2 linked regions of the Xenopus tropicalis genome follow. The protein of the gene in region 2 purifies or fractionates together with the protein of the main gene of each other region. This does not show direct contact. Links are inferred from orthologs where the notes say so. Each region holds a gene or a part of one and is shown on either strand. Other genes may lie near its edges.

Region 1 (8,196 bases), on a different chromosome or scaffold from region 2:
GTATTCCCTCACTTGTACTGAGAGCTATCTCCCATAACCCTGTATTCCCTCACTTGTACTGAGAGCTATCTCCCCTACCCCTGTATTCCCTCACTTGTACTGAGAGCTATCTCCCATAACCCTGTATTCCCTCACTTGTACTGAGAGCTATCTCCCATAACCCTGTATTCCCTCACTTGTACTAAGAGCTATCCCCCATAACCCTGTATTCCCTCACTTGTACTGAGAGCTATCTCCCATAACCCTGTATTCCCTCACTTGTACTGAGAGCTATCTCCCATACCCCTGTATTCCCTCACTTGTACTGAGAGCTATCTCCCATAACCCTGTATTCCCTCACTTGTACTGAGAGCTATCTCCCATAACCCTGTATTCCCTCACTTGTACTGAGAGCTATCCCCCCTACCCCTGTATTCCCTCACTTGTACTGAGAGCTATCTCCCATAGCCCTGTATTCCCTAACTTGGTAAAAACCCATCCATCCCCTTCTTGAAGCTATATAATGTATCAGCCACAACGACTGGTCAAGGAGGGATTTCCACAGCTCTCACAGTAAAAAACCCTTTCCGAATATTAATTGGAACCACCCTTCTTCAAATCGGAATGGATACCCTTGTGTCAGTTGGAAGGACCTACTGGTAAATAAAACATTAGAAAGGTTATTATATGATCCCCTTATATATTTATACATAGTTCATCATATAACCTCTTAAGTGCCTCTTCTCCAATGTAAACAGACCCAACTTGGCCAGTCTTTCTTCATAAATAAGACTTTCCATACCCTTTACCAGCTTAGTTGCCCTTCTCTGGACCCTCTCTAATTCAATAATGTCCCGTTTAAGCACTGGAGACCAAAACTGGACAGTATAGTCTAGATGGGGCCTTACCAGCGCTCTGTAAAGGGGAAGAATAACCCCCTCCTCCCGTGAATCTATACCCCTTTAAATACCTCAGCTCAATACCCTGTTTGCCCTTGCAGCTGCTGCCTGGCATTGCTTGCTACAGCCAAGTTTATTATCTACAAGGACTCCAAGGTCCTTCTCCATTATGGATTTGCCTAGTGCAGTCCCATTAAGGGTATACGGGGCTTGCATATTTTTACATCCCAGGTGCATGACCTTACATTTATCCACATTAAATCTCATCTGCCACTTAGCTGCCCAGATTGCCAGTTTGTCAAGATCCTGCTGCAAGGATGGCAGAACTTTACTCCAAATAAAGAATTTTCCATTAACAACCACCCTCTGTACCCGATCCTGTAGCCAGTTTTCTATCCATGTGCAAACGACTTCACTAAGACCAACAGACCTTAATTTTACCAGAAAAGGTCTCTTGTTTCTTTAAAGGAGAAGGAAAGTCTAAGTCACTTGGGGGTGCTAAAATGTTAGGCACCCCCAAGTGACTTAAATCGCTTACCTTTTACCCCGGGCTGGTGCCCCTGTACGGAGAGAACAGCACCAGCCCGAGGTAGCAGCAATCGCTTCCTTCTTCCTGATCGCGTGTGTGCGCACATGCGCAGTAGAGTGAAAAGCGGAACTTTAACAGAGAAGTCTGCTTTTCACTCTACTGCACCTGTCCGGGACAATCAGCAGCAGTGCGATCAGGAAGGAGGAAGCGCATCGCTCCAGGTACTCCGGGCTGGTTCTGTTTTCTCCTAACAGGGGCACCAGCCCAGGGTACAAGGTAAGCGATTTAAGTCACTTGGGGGTGCCTAACATTTTGGCACCCCCAAGTGACTTAGACTTTCCTTGTCCTTTAAAGATGCTAAGATATCTTCATGGGTATAACAATAGAAACAGTATCCCCAGAGCACTGGAGTGGCTGAATGCAGAAGAACAGAAGGAATGGGAGGCGCCTAGTTTTAATATATTTGTGCAAAACAGTTCCTTGTCTCCACAATTTCAAAGAGGGTAAAATTCAATCTTTTTCATCTGTATAGTCAGCATCTCTAAATAATCTGTGCCTATAATTAGGGCTTTGCAAGGAAGAGATGGCATTATTCAGTGCTAGTTGCAGTACTTTTGTTCCTTATCTATTTTATTTAGTATAAAAACTGTAAGGAAGGGAATCACAAGCACGTCCAGAAGAAAGATTATGTTCTAGGCTATTTGCAAGATAGATGTGTGCTACTGCAGTTTCCAGATTTGTGTAAACAGTCTGCCTGGTTCCATAGCAAGCCGCAGTTTCGCAAACAGAGATCATTTAGAAGAACATGGGGTGAAATGAGTAAAGTTACTCAGCTTGGCAGTAAACAAATTTTGCTATGTAGGTGGCTGACCAAATCAAAACATGTATTGACTCCCAATGGGCTAATATTATTAATAATCAACAAAGCCCACTTGTCAAAGCAAAATTATCCTTTGACATATATGTCTTACCTGAGTCTCCCAGGAAAAATGAAATATATATACATATGTGTGTGTGCTCATAGTGGGTGTTGATTTTAAATAAATATAACTGTGTCTAGGACCAAAGTTAGAGAAGAAGGTAGGGAGGAGTTACACAGATCTCTAATGAACAACCTGCTTCCTCCAGTTGTTGCAATACAAAATGCAGCATCCTTGACAGACAGCCTATAAAATAAGTAATATTGTAACTGTTTTGTAGTGTAGAGAATCACAGCATGATGGTGGAACAGTAGCCTGATGTAAACATGCTGACTCATGCATATGGTATGTCTTCCATCACGCAGTCTGACATACACATGCTGATTGTAGCATATGATATATCTTACCGATATATCATAATTAGCTAGTTATACACTTGCTGACCCTAGCCTATGGGATGTGTTTTGTAAAGAGGCTGGATATGTTTAAATTCTTTTTTCTTGCTACTCTTGCTACTGGCAGGGACCCACCCAGCTACTATGTCCTGGACCTGTATCCATGTTACCTGAGTGGGTTAAGTGTTCCCCATTGGCCTAGGGATATACATGAGTGCTTCCTATTAGTTTGATAAAGCAATTGAAAAAAAAGTGGCTCTCCCACCTACCGAGCAGGGTGGATGAGTCTGGAGAGCCCTAGTAGGAGTGGGCCCTAAGGGAGGTAAGCCCTTAGTGAAGACGGAGATGCTCTACACTATTTGTGTGAAAATTTGTTCTGGGTTGGGAAATACAAGTAACACTGCCATTTAAACTTATTCCCAAGTACCATGAATACAATTATATTGATATTTTAGCTTTTGTGCGCAGTCATATTTAGAAATTAATTATTGTTGTCAGAAAGTCCTGCAAAGATAGCGGAACTATGGCTGGTTGCAAACCACCTTGGCTGGGAGAAACCACCTTCTTCAGGTGGCCATAAATGTAAAGATAAGCTTATTTGGCAACGCAGACAAACAAGTGGATCTTTTACTGTTATGCCTACCTTGAGGTGCATTCCTTGGCTAATTTGATTGTTACATCTACCTGAACAATATGTGGCTGACTTGTGTGGGGCCAAACGTAGGGCCCCACACAGGGGCCAATAAGCTGTTGACTTGGTCATTCTGCAATGCTCTGCTATGAGGCTATATATGTAATGTGAATTGCTGGTGGCACCTCTGCTCTACAGTAACCATAAACAACAAGTATTGTATTCAATATAGCAATAACCAGATTGGTTTGTCATGAGAAGTATTGCAACAACATGGAACTTACCTATCAGCCACATAATAAGAAGGAAATCGATTCTCTCTAACGCTGGCCCCATGGTGTTCTTCTTATCCTCATTGTAAACCAAAGAATATAGGTTAAGAAGCAGCAGGAAAGTGAAGTAAGAAGCTCCATGTATAATAAATTTCATAAACGGGGTATGAATTATACGTCCAACTTGGGATTTGGGAGCTAGCAAGTAGCACACGGAGAGGACTGGCCAAAAAATTCCAACGGTAAGGACAATCAATATCTTTTTGCAGGTGTGTTTCCGTCTGTACCCTGCCATTTGGCCAAACCAGACAGTATTCAGAAATTGCTGGCAGTTGGACTGGGATACAAACTGGAAAGTAAGAAGAAAGAAAAGAGAAACTAGTATTTGTAAAATAAGACTGCAGTTAAAGCGATGCAAACTTATGTAAAATGTAAATGTAAGCAAAGGGGTGGGTGCCATTTTGTTTCACACTTCTCTGTAATATTCGATTGAGGTAAAGTGTTGTACAGCACCTAATTTGTTAGTCATCTTTCTAGAAGTTGAGCTTTCTAGAATAGTGTCTTCCCAGACTCCTACCTCCTTTTGATTGTACTTGATAGCGAGTTTCAATCGGCTCAAGTTCATGCGCTCCTCAAGCAGCCCTCTCTTGTCTACAGGCTCATCACTCGATTGGTGGTTTAGGATGACTTCCAGCTCTCGAGAATTCCGGGCCTGGGCCAACAAGTCTTTAGCAAATGTCTTACACTTTTGAGCAAGTTCTTCATAATCGTTTCTGAAGTCAACATGTTGTGATAAAAAACAAAAAGGTCAGATGAAAGGAACCTACTATTTGGTGTTTCAGTTTGACTGCATGACAGAAAAGTGCTGCTCCTTTTAGAAATCACCATGAAATATTTTAGAAAATAATTATTTATATAGGTCAAATATTTGTGTGATGGTTATTCTCACCGAAATTCCACTTCTACAAGGCTAAGCTCTTTTAAATCTGCACTGAGTTCAAAGGCCCGCAGAATTGGATCCTCCTCAGTCAGCATAATTAGAGCTGGACTGGCCAGGCATCGATAGATATCAAGTCGAAACCTGTAATAAAATACAAGCATTGTTACCGGTACTACTGTGAAATATCTGACCTCCTAGAATGAATAAAGCTGCGGACCCTTTGTGAAATGCTTTTTTGTAGGTGCAATAAATCCTAGATTCTGCAAAGAATCTGGTGCACAACACAAACACAACTTAGGTAAATATATAATCTTGACCGTCTCTTGTAGATGCAGCTGCCAGGATACTTCAAATTATGGCTCAAGAGCAGCTGGAAATGGACTGCCTAAAACAGTAAAAACATTGCCTTAGGGCAATGGCACTCAGGTAATTCAGGGCATTGTGTCGACTCACCTGGGGATTTTCTAGTTAATCAGAAGGTGACATAATCCTTGGAATTACTACATAGTAATTTCAGGGGCAATTGCCTTGACCCAATGGTCAGCTGATTGCCCTGTAGGTTCAGATGATTGCCATTGAAATAAATGAGGAGGCAATTTTGGGTCTTTGGCCTCTTAGCTGTTATTGCTCAGGCAAACTTTAATCATTTTCCCAAGACCCTGGGCACATTTGCCATTGACCTTGAATGTAAAGCCCTTGTCAAATGTATATATTTATGGACAGGTTTTATATCTGAAGCTCAATTAAGATTATGTGATGCTGTAAGTGTGAATACACAGAGCCATTAACAGTGGGAACCTGAAATAAAATCATGCAACATAAATACATATTTTTTTAATAAAATACACCACAGATAGCAGTTCTTATGCACAGTGTGGTCCTTCCTAATTCTAAATGACATTACTTTTTATTCTATATCGGGCAGCTCTGTACACTGCCCATTCAGACACACTTTGGGTTATAGAATAACAGGGGTCAGACTTTCCTGGTCTTGTATGCTATAGCAACCAATCAGCAGTTAGTAATTACTGGTCTGGTGTAAGGCAAACATGCTGACTATTTACTAGATCTGCTCAAAAGTTTTATTCATACACAAATCCCTCTGAATACCTACTCAAGGGTCAAAATTGATGAAAAAATGCAGTCCTAAAAGTGTTACAAATAGTACAACGTATTCACAATAGGTATTTGTTGTTGTAATGCCCCCAATGTTTTAAATATTTGTTGTTATTGTGCAGGAAAATGTTGTTATTCTGGGAAATAAAATGCTCCCCAAATTCTTCTCTATGTTGACTTGACCTGCAGCACTTATATGCACAAATCATTGTACTTACTTTAACAAAGTGCAACAATATTAAGTATTTTATGTACTAAATCATTCTTGTACTGTGTGTGAATACAAACATTTTTCCATGCTCCATAAAAATAAAGTGTACAGAAGACAAAAGCTTCCTGGGGGGTGTAGCATCTGGGCCACAGCTGAGCTTAGAAAGCTTGCATGGCTCCCACACTACGTGCCCCCCTGGTTGCCTGTTGGGCATTGCTTGTGTATACAGTCAGCAGTAAAGTATTTGACACATGAGTATCAAAGCCTTCCAGCTGCTGCAAATTCAGCCACCAATCCTAAACTGGATATTTATTTATAATTCTTTCTAAATCTTGATCAAAACAGATATTTTGCATTGTCAGCTGAGTTTGATAATCCTAACCTGGAGTGTCTCAAACTGTCCTTCTTGTTCTTGGCTGTACAAAGGGTGCACTCACAGCCCACAGCATGAGGCTTTGGGAGAGAGACATCCTGTTTCAGAAGCATGGTAAGAATCTCGTAGTTATTCCGGTGAGCAGCCAGGATTACAGGAGCCACATCCATGGTGGTGGAATATTCTGGATTTTGAATTCGCTCCATAAGTTTCTGCAATATAGGGCAAATGTGTCAATCAGACCAGAATCTATATAATGGGTGAGTTTTCCCTGCAAAGCTTGAACTTGCTTCCCATTATGATGCCTACTGTTTTTTTTATAGCTACAATACAACAGAGACTGACCTGACTTTGATATATTGATTATTGCACTGTCCCACTGGATATGTTCCCCTTAGCAGACTTAGAATGTGCTGTGGCTTATGGCAAAGGGAATCAGGCACTGATCGTTTTAATTGTGAGACTCAATTTGTTGTCACATTTTAGTACTGTTTACCTTTTTTTAATTTTATGAAAACCTACCAGCACCTGGCTAAAAAAGGCAATCTAATTGGTTGCTATGTGTTACTGTCCATGGGCAAATTTGCCCAGTGTTGATAAATGAGCCCCAGTCTGTCTTTTATTACATAACCCCCAAAGAGTAGTGTTCTGTACACCCACATCTACATTGCTCATACTATTTTTATATGGCAATAATTACAACATTTACAAAAGAAATCAGAAAATATTCCTAGTCTTATATGAACCATTATTAAATCTAGTCCATCTTATTTTGCTGAAGTGTCCAGAAAGTAAAATGCAAACCTGCATGGCATATGACTTACTACAATAGTTGGTCTTGTTCTCCATTTTGGTTGATGATTTAACAAGATATCCACAGCTCCCACCACCTCAGAGTCAATTGCCACAAGGAGGGCATCAGTAGACTGATAAAACACAATAAACACTCTATAAATAAGATATAAAATCTAAATTTTAGGCAAGATAGTTGATGAAAAAAGAGAATGTGTAAAAAAATATGCAGATGTTTGTTGTAATTATATATATACACCATCTGGATACTTTTGGCTATGTTGTATACTGTATGTACCTCTGTCTAATTTTACTGTACTCACTTACAAGTAATAAATACATTAAAGTTATTATTTGAATAATCATGAGGACAGCCAAGCTTAGTATGGGCTCTGCATATCTATGGCTTTAACGAGAACATTTTTATATTATTTTTTTCAAAACAGTTTAGAGTTCTCGGTGTATCAATTTGGACAGCAGCAGAATATCTAGATATGCTTAGTTTCCTGCTGTTGCACGGCCAGTTGGAAAGAGTAGGAGGTACAGATGTTACTTATTTACCTGGCAACCATAATTGAGGAGAAGCTGCAGGATATCCAAGTTCTCATTTTCAATGGAAATAGTGATGGCATTTCTCCCTAGTACATCCACTGAATTGATGTTCAGTTCTTCTGAGCTGTTTTCTTCCAAAAGCTTTTTCACCATATAGTAATCACCTGCAGTACAGAGTTAGCCATTAGCGCCTTATTGGTTAATAATTCTTAATAAGACTAATGCAGCCTCAGAACGTTAGTATGGACAAGAACCTGGCCGATTATGTCCTGGTTTGTATACACAATGAAATTGACCTTGTACTCAGCTCAAGCTGCGGTCTGGGTAGAATCATATAATATGTAATGAGTATGCACAGAGGTCCACCACTTCTTTTAAGGAGACTAAATATGGATTCTAAAGACAATACACGCTGATGGCTTTTCTTTCAGAATAAAACTAATTTATTACATTAGTGTGGAGATGCTCTGTAACCAATGATGTATCCAAGCATACATTCAGCCAGGTACAGGGAGCTACTTGCCATTGAAAGCAGAATGGGAAATACCACAAATAACTACAGTTTTCTTTCTTTTTTGTACTTAATA
Region 2 (8,196 bases):
GGAATCAGCTCCATAGAAAAGACTGGTTTAGAATTCATTATGTTGTCTCATTTTAAATTGCTTATTGCAGGTTTTTCTGATATATAGGGGATTATGGAGACCCGCCCTAAACAACACAGGGTCTATTTTGGTTGCTCTGACTCATATGTTATGAATTCCTGGCTTATAGAATGCCCAGAGCGAGCACCAGCACATTAAAAGGGGACATCTATGTGAAGAAAGAAACAGTTTAGAGGTAAATACAATTCTACCCTTTACACCAGGTCCCTGCAACAGCAATTCCCTGCAAATGAGAGATTGAATTCACAGCAGCACCAATGACCTGATGTCTCTAAGGCTAATGAAATGTTACTAAAGCCCATGACTGCTGCTCCTCAGAGCCACTGATTACAATATCATCCATAATTATGCACGCAGGACAACAGAAATGCTGGTGTGCATTTTTCAGCCAACATCTGCCCTGTGTGTACAGGCAGATGCCATTGTAGCTAAGGGCAGTAGGCGCCAGAAGTCGTAAGGTGATTTTTTGCAAGTGGTTTTCTGCAGTGGCAGAAAAAATGGCATGTGTGACATTAACCTTAAAGTACATCATTTGCTTCTTTCCTGTAGGTAAGCTTTTATGCTGCAACAGTCATTCTCTGCCATGTCAAAGGCATGATGTGGAATTTCACATTACAGCTGTAGAGTGGGAAGTTGACATAACTGCTTTCATGGCCCATTGTTCTAGGCAGAGGCATAATTACTTACATAGCAGTTATTTCCACTCAGTGACACACTTGTGTGACACTGGGAAAGAATGTAACAAAAATTTTATTTTCCAGTTGCAATTTGCCCGTGAAACCAAAGAAACATTTTACCATGTCAAGTTTTTAAAGTAATACATTGCCACCTGTGTACTGAGTGAAGTTACTGTTTTAAACAGATGATTGTCAAACAGTAATCCATTGTGCATATACTGAATAAGGCAACTAAATCCTTTCACCAAGAAAGAGGAGAGAGCAAAGCAGTGTGTGGGAAGGGATTCTAATAATAAAGATAACATAACTAGAGTAATTTCCCTGCAAGAATTGCATGGCCTTATGAAAAAGTGAGTGTCAGACAGCTACAAACGTATAGTGAAGGACACCCACATAATGTAAAAATGCTTGGCCCGGATATTTGATTTCATGATCTAACCTGCAACAAAGTAAGCAAAGCTAATGCCTAACTGACTTTAATATTACTGTCTAATTTCATAATAACTCAGAATGTAGTATACCCTGATGTAAACTTAATGCAATTTTTTTGTACTAAGATTAGGCTTGTGTGATGCAGTCTAACAAGGGAACATAAGCCTACTGATGCATTTTGGGACAGGATTCAGCTGTCATGGGGTCTGTGGTTCAGACACACCTTGACAGCGGTCCTGTGTGCATAGCAGAATTGTAGCAGATAAAATTATGGTAATGGAACATGAACATTTTAGGGAGGGAACAGTGGTGATCAATAGAGCGTTTTGGTGCCATGGTCCATCTCTCACCTCTCCTCATGCACAAGACAGGGCAATTTAATCAATAAAATTAGAAGCTAAGACAGGAGGATGGGGCATTTGGTCACTGCTGTTTTCCACTGAAGGGCAGTGTAAATTCTGTAGGGAGGGTTATGCTTACCACTGGGTTATTGCCGGATTTCCTCTGAGACAACAAAACAGCATTTTTGTAAAAATCCAGAGATAACATTTTCCAAGGTGACAAGTTCACATCATTGCATGAAAAATAAACCTGGAAGGTGTTTCCCTCCTAGCAGCATGGAATGTGATGCTTACAGAGCAGGTTCAATGCCAAGTTTATTGTATCTTTCATAGCTGATTTATGTGCATTTAGTTTCCATATACTTGTGACCAGATTCAGCACACTGACAGAGTGGGAGCGTCTTCATACTTTCCATGCAGCTGCAAATTGTGCTTGGAAGTCACACCATATTCTGCGTATGTTGTGTCAGTGCAATGTTTTCCACTCAACTGTCTCGGCAGGTGGTTTGCATTATTCATTTTACTAACTTCTTTGGATATCCCAAAGCAAATTCCTTGATCTCACAGGATAAAGTTTGCTGGCCTTTTCCATTGGGTATGCACCATGAGCTTCTAGCCACTGGAAAGTTTAGCAAAGCTGTTGAATGTGGTTTAAACTCATGCTCACATTTGTAATGAAGGCTCAAAGTTTGCCAAGGTGCAGAAACCCATATCCTGACAGTCAGGAAAGTTTAAATGATTTGACACTTTATGTGTGAAATCATGAAATATTTTGAGTCAAATCAATTTGTATAATTTCTACACTAAAACAACTGTTTAGTTTAAAGCTACCACTGACTCTTTTGGAGTTGGTAAATCATCCCCTAAGTCTTTTTTATGAGCTTACATAGATACTGCACAAAATAATTTAAATAATTAGAATGCTGATATGTATATGGATAATTATCTCTTTATCATTACAGTGAGGCCTGTTATAAATCATTAGAAATGCATGAGTTAAATGCACTCATTCTTCCTTTCTGGTTGTTACACTCTCTCTACTGAAAAAAGTAGAATGTGTCCCTTTTTGTCTGTATTCAACTTTGATCTCAGTCACGGACACATAAAGAAAAATGAGATCAATTAACACATGTTGCAGCTTTGTGGTACACAATAAACTGCAATGCAAATGCAGTATAAAATGCAGCAAATAGTTACATAGTTACATAGGGTTGAAAAAAGACCAGAGTCCATCAAGTTCAACCCATCCAAGTAAACCCAGCACACACAACCCACACCTACCAATCTATACACTCCCATACATAAACTATATATACAACCACTAATACTAACTGTAGATATTAGTATATGGCGAGGGCATAAATAATGGGCCCTGTAATTTTAGGGTGCGCCAAAAACCCCACTTTCTAAATTTTTGACTTGGCCCAGTTAGTCCATATTTTTAGTAGATTGTGGTGCTGTTAAATTCAGTCATATCCTGTTGCAATTACATCATGTTAGTATGACACTGAGCTGTTTATTTTAGGTCCTGAACCATATTTCCCTATATTTAATTACATCAAGCCGTTTGCAGATCTGCCACAAATACCACCCACCCAGGGTGCAAACATCCAAGAAACATAGAGTTTGTGCCATTTTTTGCACTTTGCACCATGCCTAGCACTAATAATTTGTTATAATTGTTAGTATATTTGTATTGACATGTAAGCATCAATGTATAAAGGTACATGAATAATTTACATGCACTAGGCCATTTATTTGCTGCAATTCTCACTAGCACCTTAGATCATGTCTGCTGCTGAACTATGAAGTTTTGGAAACCCCACCCATCTTTGGGCTGTAAAAGACATGCAGCTGTGGTATATTCTCCAGTTACCCCTAATATAAAAAATAGGTTAACTGAAGCATACACCAGGGCTCCTTATACAGCAGAGTGAACCTCAAAGAGCTAGCTTTACACTAGCAATGGTTTTAAATGAAATATGATACAGTTGTCAACCATGGTGGAACAGAACGACAGATCAATCACAAAATTGCACTCTACCCCAATCCCATCGTACGTATCTGTTGCCAACCATGCAAGTACAACTGTATTGTAGTAGCCCACACTGTATGTGTGCAAGTCATACTGTACAATTTACCAAAATGTTTGTGGGACAGCACAAGACTCACAACTGTGGGTACCAGATATTGAGTAGGAATGGTGGTGTTGGGATACTGCTATGTATGTATCTTTATAGAAGACATTAAAATTCTTCCCCATGGTCACAATTCTATATGGCCTATATACCTGGCAGTGATATGTTGGCATTATGAGAAGAGAGCTAGTTACATGAGGACATAGGTCTGTGAGTTCTTGGTCCCAGAGAATATTAAACAACTTGGAGGGCAAATATAATGAATCATACTAGGGATGGCGGTTTATTGGATTTCTGGAGTACAGTATGTGCAGCCCAGATTTAAGGGAACATTTTTCCTTAGCACCTGGTCATTTAAGGGAGGGGCCTCAAAATCCTCTATTATATCCAATAAGACTATGACAGAAAAAGGGTGGATTCACTTAAAGCCTTCCCAACTCACTTTCCAAAAACCACAAACATCTCTCTGACAACTTTCCAAACATTTTGTTCCCAAGCTCAGAGGGGAAAACAAATGAGCCAAGTGTAAAAATGTCACAACTTACATGGCCTGCTGCCTGTCATACAGGGGGACCTTTCCCTTTAACCCTTCAGCCCTAACTGCATGATGTGCCTGTGCTTTATCAGCACTGTGTATGTTATACCGACAGAGTGTGCTAAATCTCCTTGTGCTCCTATGATTTGGAATGGGATGATATGAATTGTGAATACTGGGATGCTATACTCTCACTATACACTGGTTTTGGGACTTGATCATTTCAGGTTCACTCTACGGGGGTCACAGTTACCCCCCTCCAGATAATAACAACGTTGAAGGAAGCTATATATTAACATTGCTATATCTGCTATAAAAACATAGTTACAAGAATATCCAAAAGACCAAATATAAGTTTACTTCAAATCTCACCCTAAATGACCTTTACATTTATTTTATTGAGTAAAGTATATAGTAGAGCAAATACGCCCCACTAGCATGACCAGCCCCAAAGTTTGGAAACCACTGGCCTAAAGTGCAGAACAAGTCTATAGTCCCCGAGATAAGGGACGTCTCCCTGGCACAAGTCAATGTAACAATATAACTTTCTCACATTAACCTAGTGTCAGTACATGGCACATAACTCCAGTCTTACCTTCACCACATCGTCATTCAGGTGCTTGGGGTCCCTGTTGACCAGATCGATCTCCTTAGTGTGCACGTCCCGGGCAGCTGTATCCATCAGGGTCTCACCTGCCATGGTCTTGTTATTGGGCTTGTAGATGTTGCCGTGCTCTCTGATAACCGGCGTGGTGTAGAGCACACCCTGGGGGAGCGGGACGGCCGAGAGCGAAGAAGAGAAAAGACAAGCGTTAGCGCAGTGCCACCATAGATGGGAATAGGGGGTGAGAGCTGTGGCACAGAGCTGCGCTTACTCCTCTCACACGGTGCTACTAAGGCTTGGCTTATAACTGGCTCCATGCACCACACCACACCCCTCTGTACCGCAGCACGGACTCTCTCCAGCAGGGGTCATCGGATCGGGAATATTCCTCATTCCTAGGGGATTCCGATCCCCCTCGGACCCCTCCCAGGCAGGCAACCCCCCTGCCACACCCCGAAAGTTTCCTTTCGCACCACACCCGAGGGCGCCCTCCATTCCTGCAGCCCTCACTGCCCTTTGTACAAAGCGGCTGCAATTCGACTGGACTACCAAAGGGCTCAGCGCTGTTGCGAACCAGTAAATGTAGCTCTGTAATCCTCCAGCTGTAATCAAACCATAACCCCCAAATCCCCTCACAGCCAGACCAGTAAATACAAAAACAAGGGTTTTAAGTACATTTAAATGTAATGTACTGTTGCACTGCACTGAAGAAAATATGTTTGTTTCAAAAGCTCTAGTGTATATGGTTATGGTACAGGTATGGGACCCGTTATCCAGAATGCTTGGGACCTGGGGTTTTCCAGATAAGGGGTCTTTCTGTAATTCGGATCTCCTACCTTAAGTCTGTTAAAAAAAAAATGATTTAAACATTAAATAAACCCAATAGGATTGTTTTGGCTCCAATATAGATTAATTATATCTTAGTTTGGAAACAAGTACAAGGTTCTGTTTTATTATTACAGAGAAAAAGGAAATCATTCTCAAAAATGTGAACTCTTTGTTTAAAATGGAGTTTATGGGAGATGGCCTTTCCGTAATTCTGAACTTTCTGGATAATGGGTTTCCGTATAAGAGGTCCGATACCTGTACTATGTATTATTCCATTGCAAATGATATTCAGATCCCATAAGGTTAATGGCACACTGCCTTCCTGCACTCTGTAGCACTATGGGAAGATGCTAAATCCTTAAAATGCTCTTCCCATTCACTTTAAATAGGGCTTGAGCATAGTGGGAAACAAAATGCTCAGAATCACAATGTTTGCCATTATTCACATATTGGACATTACATCCCCCCAGTGAAATAGATTGCTAAGTTTTTTTCCCTAGGCTGGTGCTCCTTTTAGGAAAGAACCTGTGGAAAAAATTGAGTGCCACACTGTCATCTCCTTCCTTGGCACTTGGCATTCTGCACATACGCAGTAGAGTAAAATCTCGGGTATGCACTATTGCGCTTGCATGAACAGGAATTAACACTGGGGATGCCTGGGGCCGCAGTAGAAAGTGGAGTAAAATGTTGATGCATCGCTCCAGTTTTTTCCGCAGGTTCCTAGCAGGAGCACTTAGTGATCTATTTTATATTAGCGACCTAACATTTTGGGTTGAATATTTCCTGACCCACACATCACTAGTCCACTGTAGACCTCACTCCTAATTTTAGTCAATAACAGGCATGCAGTCAGGACCCTTTCCTTTAAGTACCATTAAGAATGGTGACAAGCAGACAAGGCATTCTATACCCCTGCTTCTTTCTGATGGATGGTAGCCATGGACTAGTGATGTGAGTTTGGGCAGGCCAATCACTTTTTTTGCTTGTGGCAGGTGAATGGAGGGCCAAACTATTCCCACGCCCCCCTCCCCCCATGACATCATTATCTCTTTTGCCCACCTGCTGTTGCTCTTATATATGCTCTCCCCCCTCCCTGCTGACTTCAGTTATATCAGAGAGGGGCAGGCACGTGTATATAAAAAATTACAGCTGGCCGGATTGGGGCAGGTTCAGGTTTGAAGAGGGCAGGGTTAAGTCAGATGTGGTGGACACTTTTTCTGTAACGTCTGATGTGCTATTACAATTAGGGCTGTAGGGCCCATATCTAAATAACATAATATGATGAATAAAATGGTTTGGTATAGGCATGAGCAGATGAAATACTGTCAAACTGGAGAGACCATCTTCAACCAACAGGATTGCAAACTGGCCAGTTCAGATCCCCCCCCCACCTGACATATTTAGATGTTTAGGTAGTGTGGTCAAAATCGTCCAAACTCCCTGACCAGATCTGGTTATGTATAGCCAGCTTTACACACCTTTGGGATGAAACCATTTTGTCTACAAAACAGGATTAGCGATGCCAAGAAATATTTTACAAAAGTTGGACATCCTCAGGTTATACTTCTCTGTCACATCATTTATCTGGTTGCCAACTGGGAACCTCCCGTTTTCCTCTGCCACAAGCCAAGCACTGAACAATACAATTTTTGTCTTTTATATACAGTGTGTCCTACTTCTCCCTTGTTTTCTTCCAAAACACATTTTTCCTATAATTTATTCAGGTTAATAAAATTGATTCAGAAGAAGCAAAAGAAGTGCATAAAATGATAAGAAACAAAGTCATAATTATGTACAGTCAGCAGATGTGATAATTCTGCAGTGGGCAATGTAGGCCCTCCACAGACATATACTGACGGTGCTTGATCTTTGCACTTTGCAATTATTTTTTTTTTTAATTTTAAATTCTGTCTTTTACTATTTAGGCCTTTGTCTATTGATCTTTCATAGTGACGTTAAAAAACACTGATTGGACCTAGTAACCTAGATTATAGTTTAAATGGCAGATCATAAAAAGCACATTAAATGGAACTTTAGTTTAAAAATCAATTCATATAGTTAATTTTAAAGGTTCAGTAGCGATTTAATTCACTGAGGGATGCCTAACATTTTGACTCCTGCTCTTTTCAGAAATCCATTAAGCCATCTCCATGTCTACATAGCATTGCTAAAACCATCTCCTGACATGCCCCTAATAACCAGATCCTTAATTCCTGTTTAGGCTCTTAACACTGCCATGCAATATCCTCCTTCAAAATAGATGCCTTTATGCTTCCTTCATCCCCCAGTAACCTCTTTCTACATCTTTTGTGCTTTCTTGTCTATTGCTAGAATCAGACTCTTCTCTTCCATTCAGTGGCATCCTGAAGGCCCATTTTTCTTAAAGAGATACTGCAACCAGAAATGAAACCCTTTTTGCAACAACATTGTCTTTTTGTTGTCTTTGGCTTTTTTTCATTACACATCCAATCCTCATGTTCCTATATGAGGGGGCTGCCACATTTGTGCAGCAGGAGTCCATTAGCATTAGAAGCTATAACTGACAGGTTGAGAAGGTACAGTCAGGTTAAAAAAACAGGTT

Evidence for each region. The genes of interacting proteins can lie anywhere in the genome.
Region 1: the proteins of cav1 (region 2) and trpc1 purify together in Homo sapiens (affinity purification with western blotting; 3 studies listed by BioGRID and IntAct, with this or other methods). This does not show direct contact. The link is inferred for Xenopus tropicalis from reciprocal best matches to the Homo sapiens genes CAV1 and TRPC1.

What each region holds. Positions count from the first base shown.
Region 1 is NC_030681.2:119,713,818-119,722,013, reverse strand, and holds part of trpc1 (short transient receptor potential channel 1), read right to left. Parts: intron 7,774-8,196; coding exon 7,619-7,773; intron 7,192-7,618; coding exon 7,090-7,191; intron 6,478-7,089; coding exon 6,275-6,477; intron 4,707-6,274; coding exon 4,575-4,706; intron 4,399-4,574; coding exon 4,203-4,398; intron 3,975-4,202; coding exon 3,638-3,974; intron 1-3,637. UniProt on the Homo sapiens protein: Forms a receptor-activated non-selective calcium permeant cation channel. Forms a heteromeric ion channel with TRPC4 or TRPC5 that has reduced calcium permeability compared to the homomeric TRPC4 or TRPC5 channel.
Region 2 is NC_030679.2:68,066,756-68,074,951, reverse strand, and holds part of cav1 (caveolin-1), read right to left. Parts: intron 4,950-8,196; coding exon 4,779-4,949; intron 1-4,778. UniProt on the Homo sapiens protein: May act as a scaffolding protein within caveolar membranes. Forms a stable heterooligomeric complex with CAV2 that targets to lipid rafts and drives caveolae formation. Mediates the recruitment of CAVIN proteins (CAVIN1/2/3/4) to the caveolae.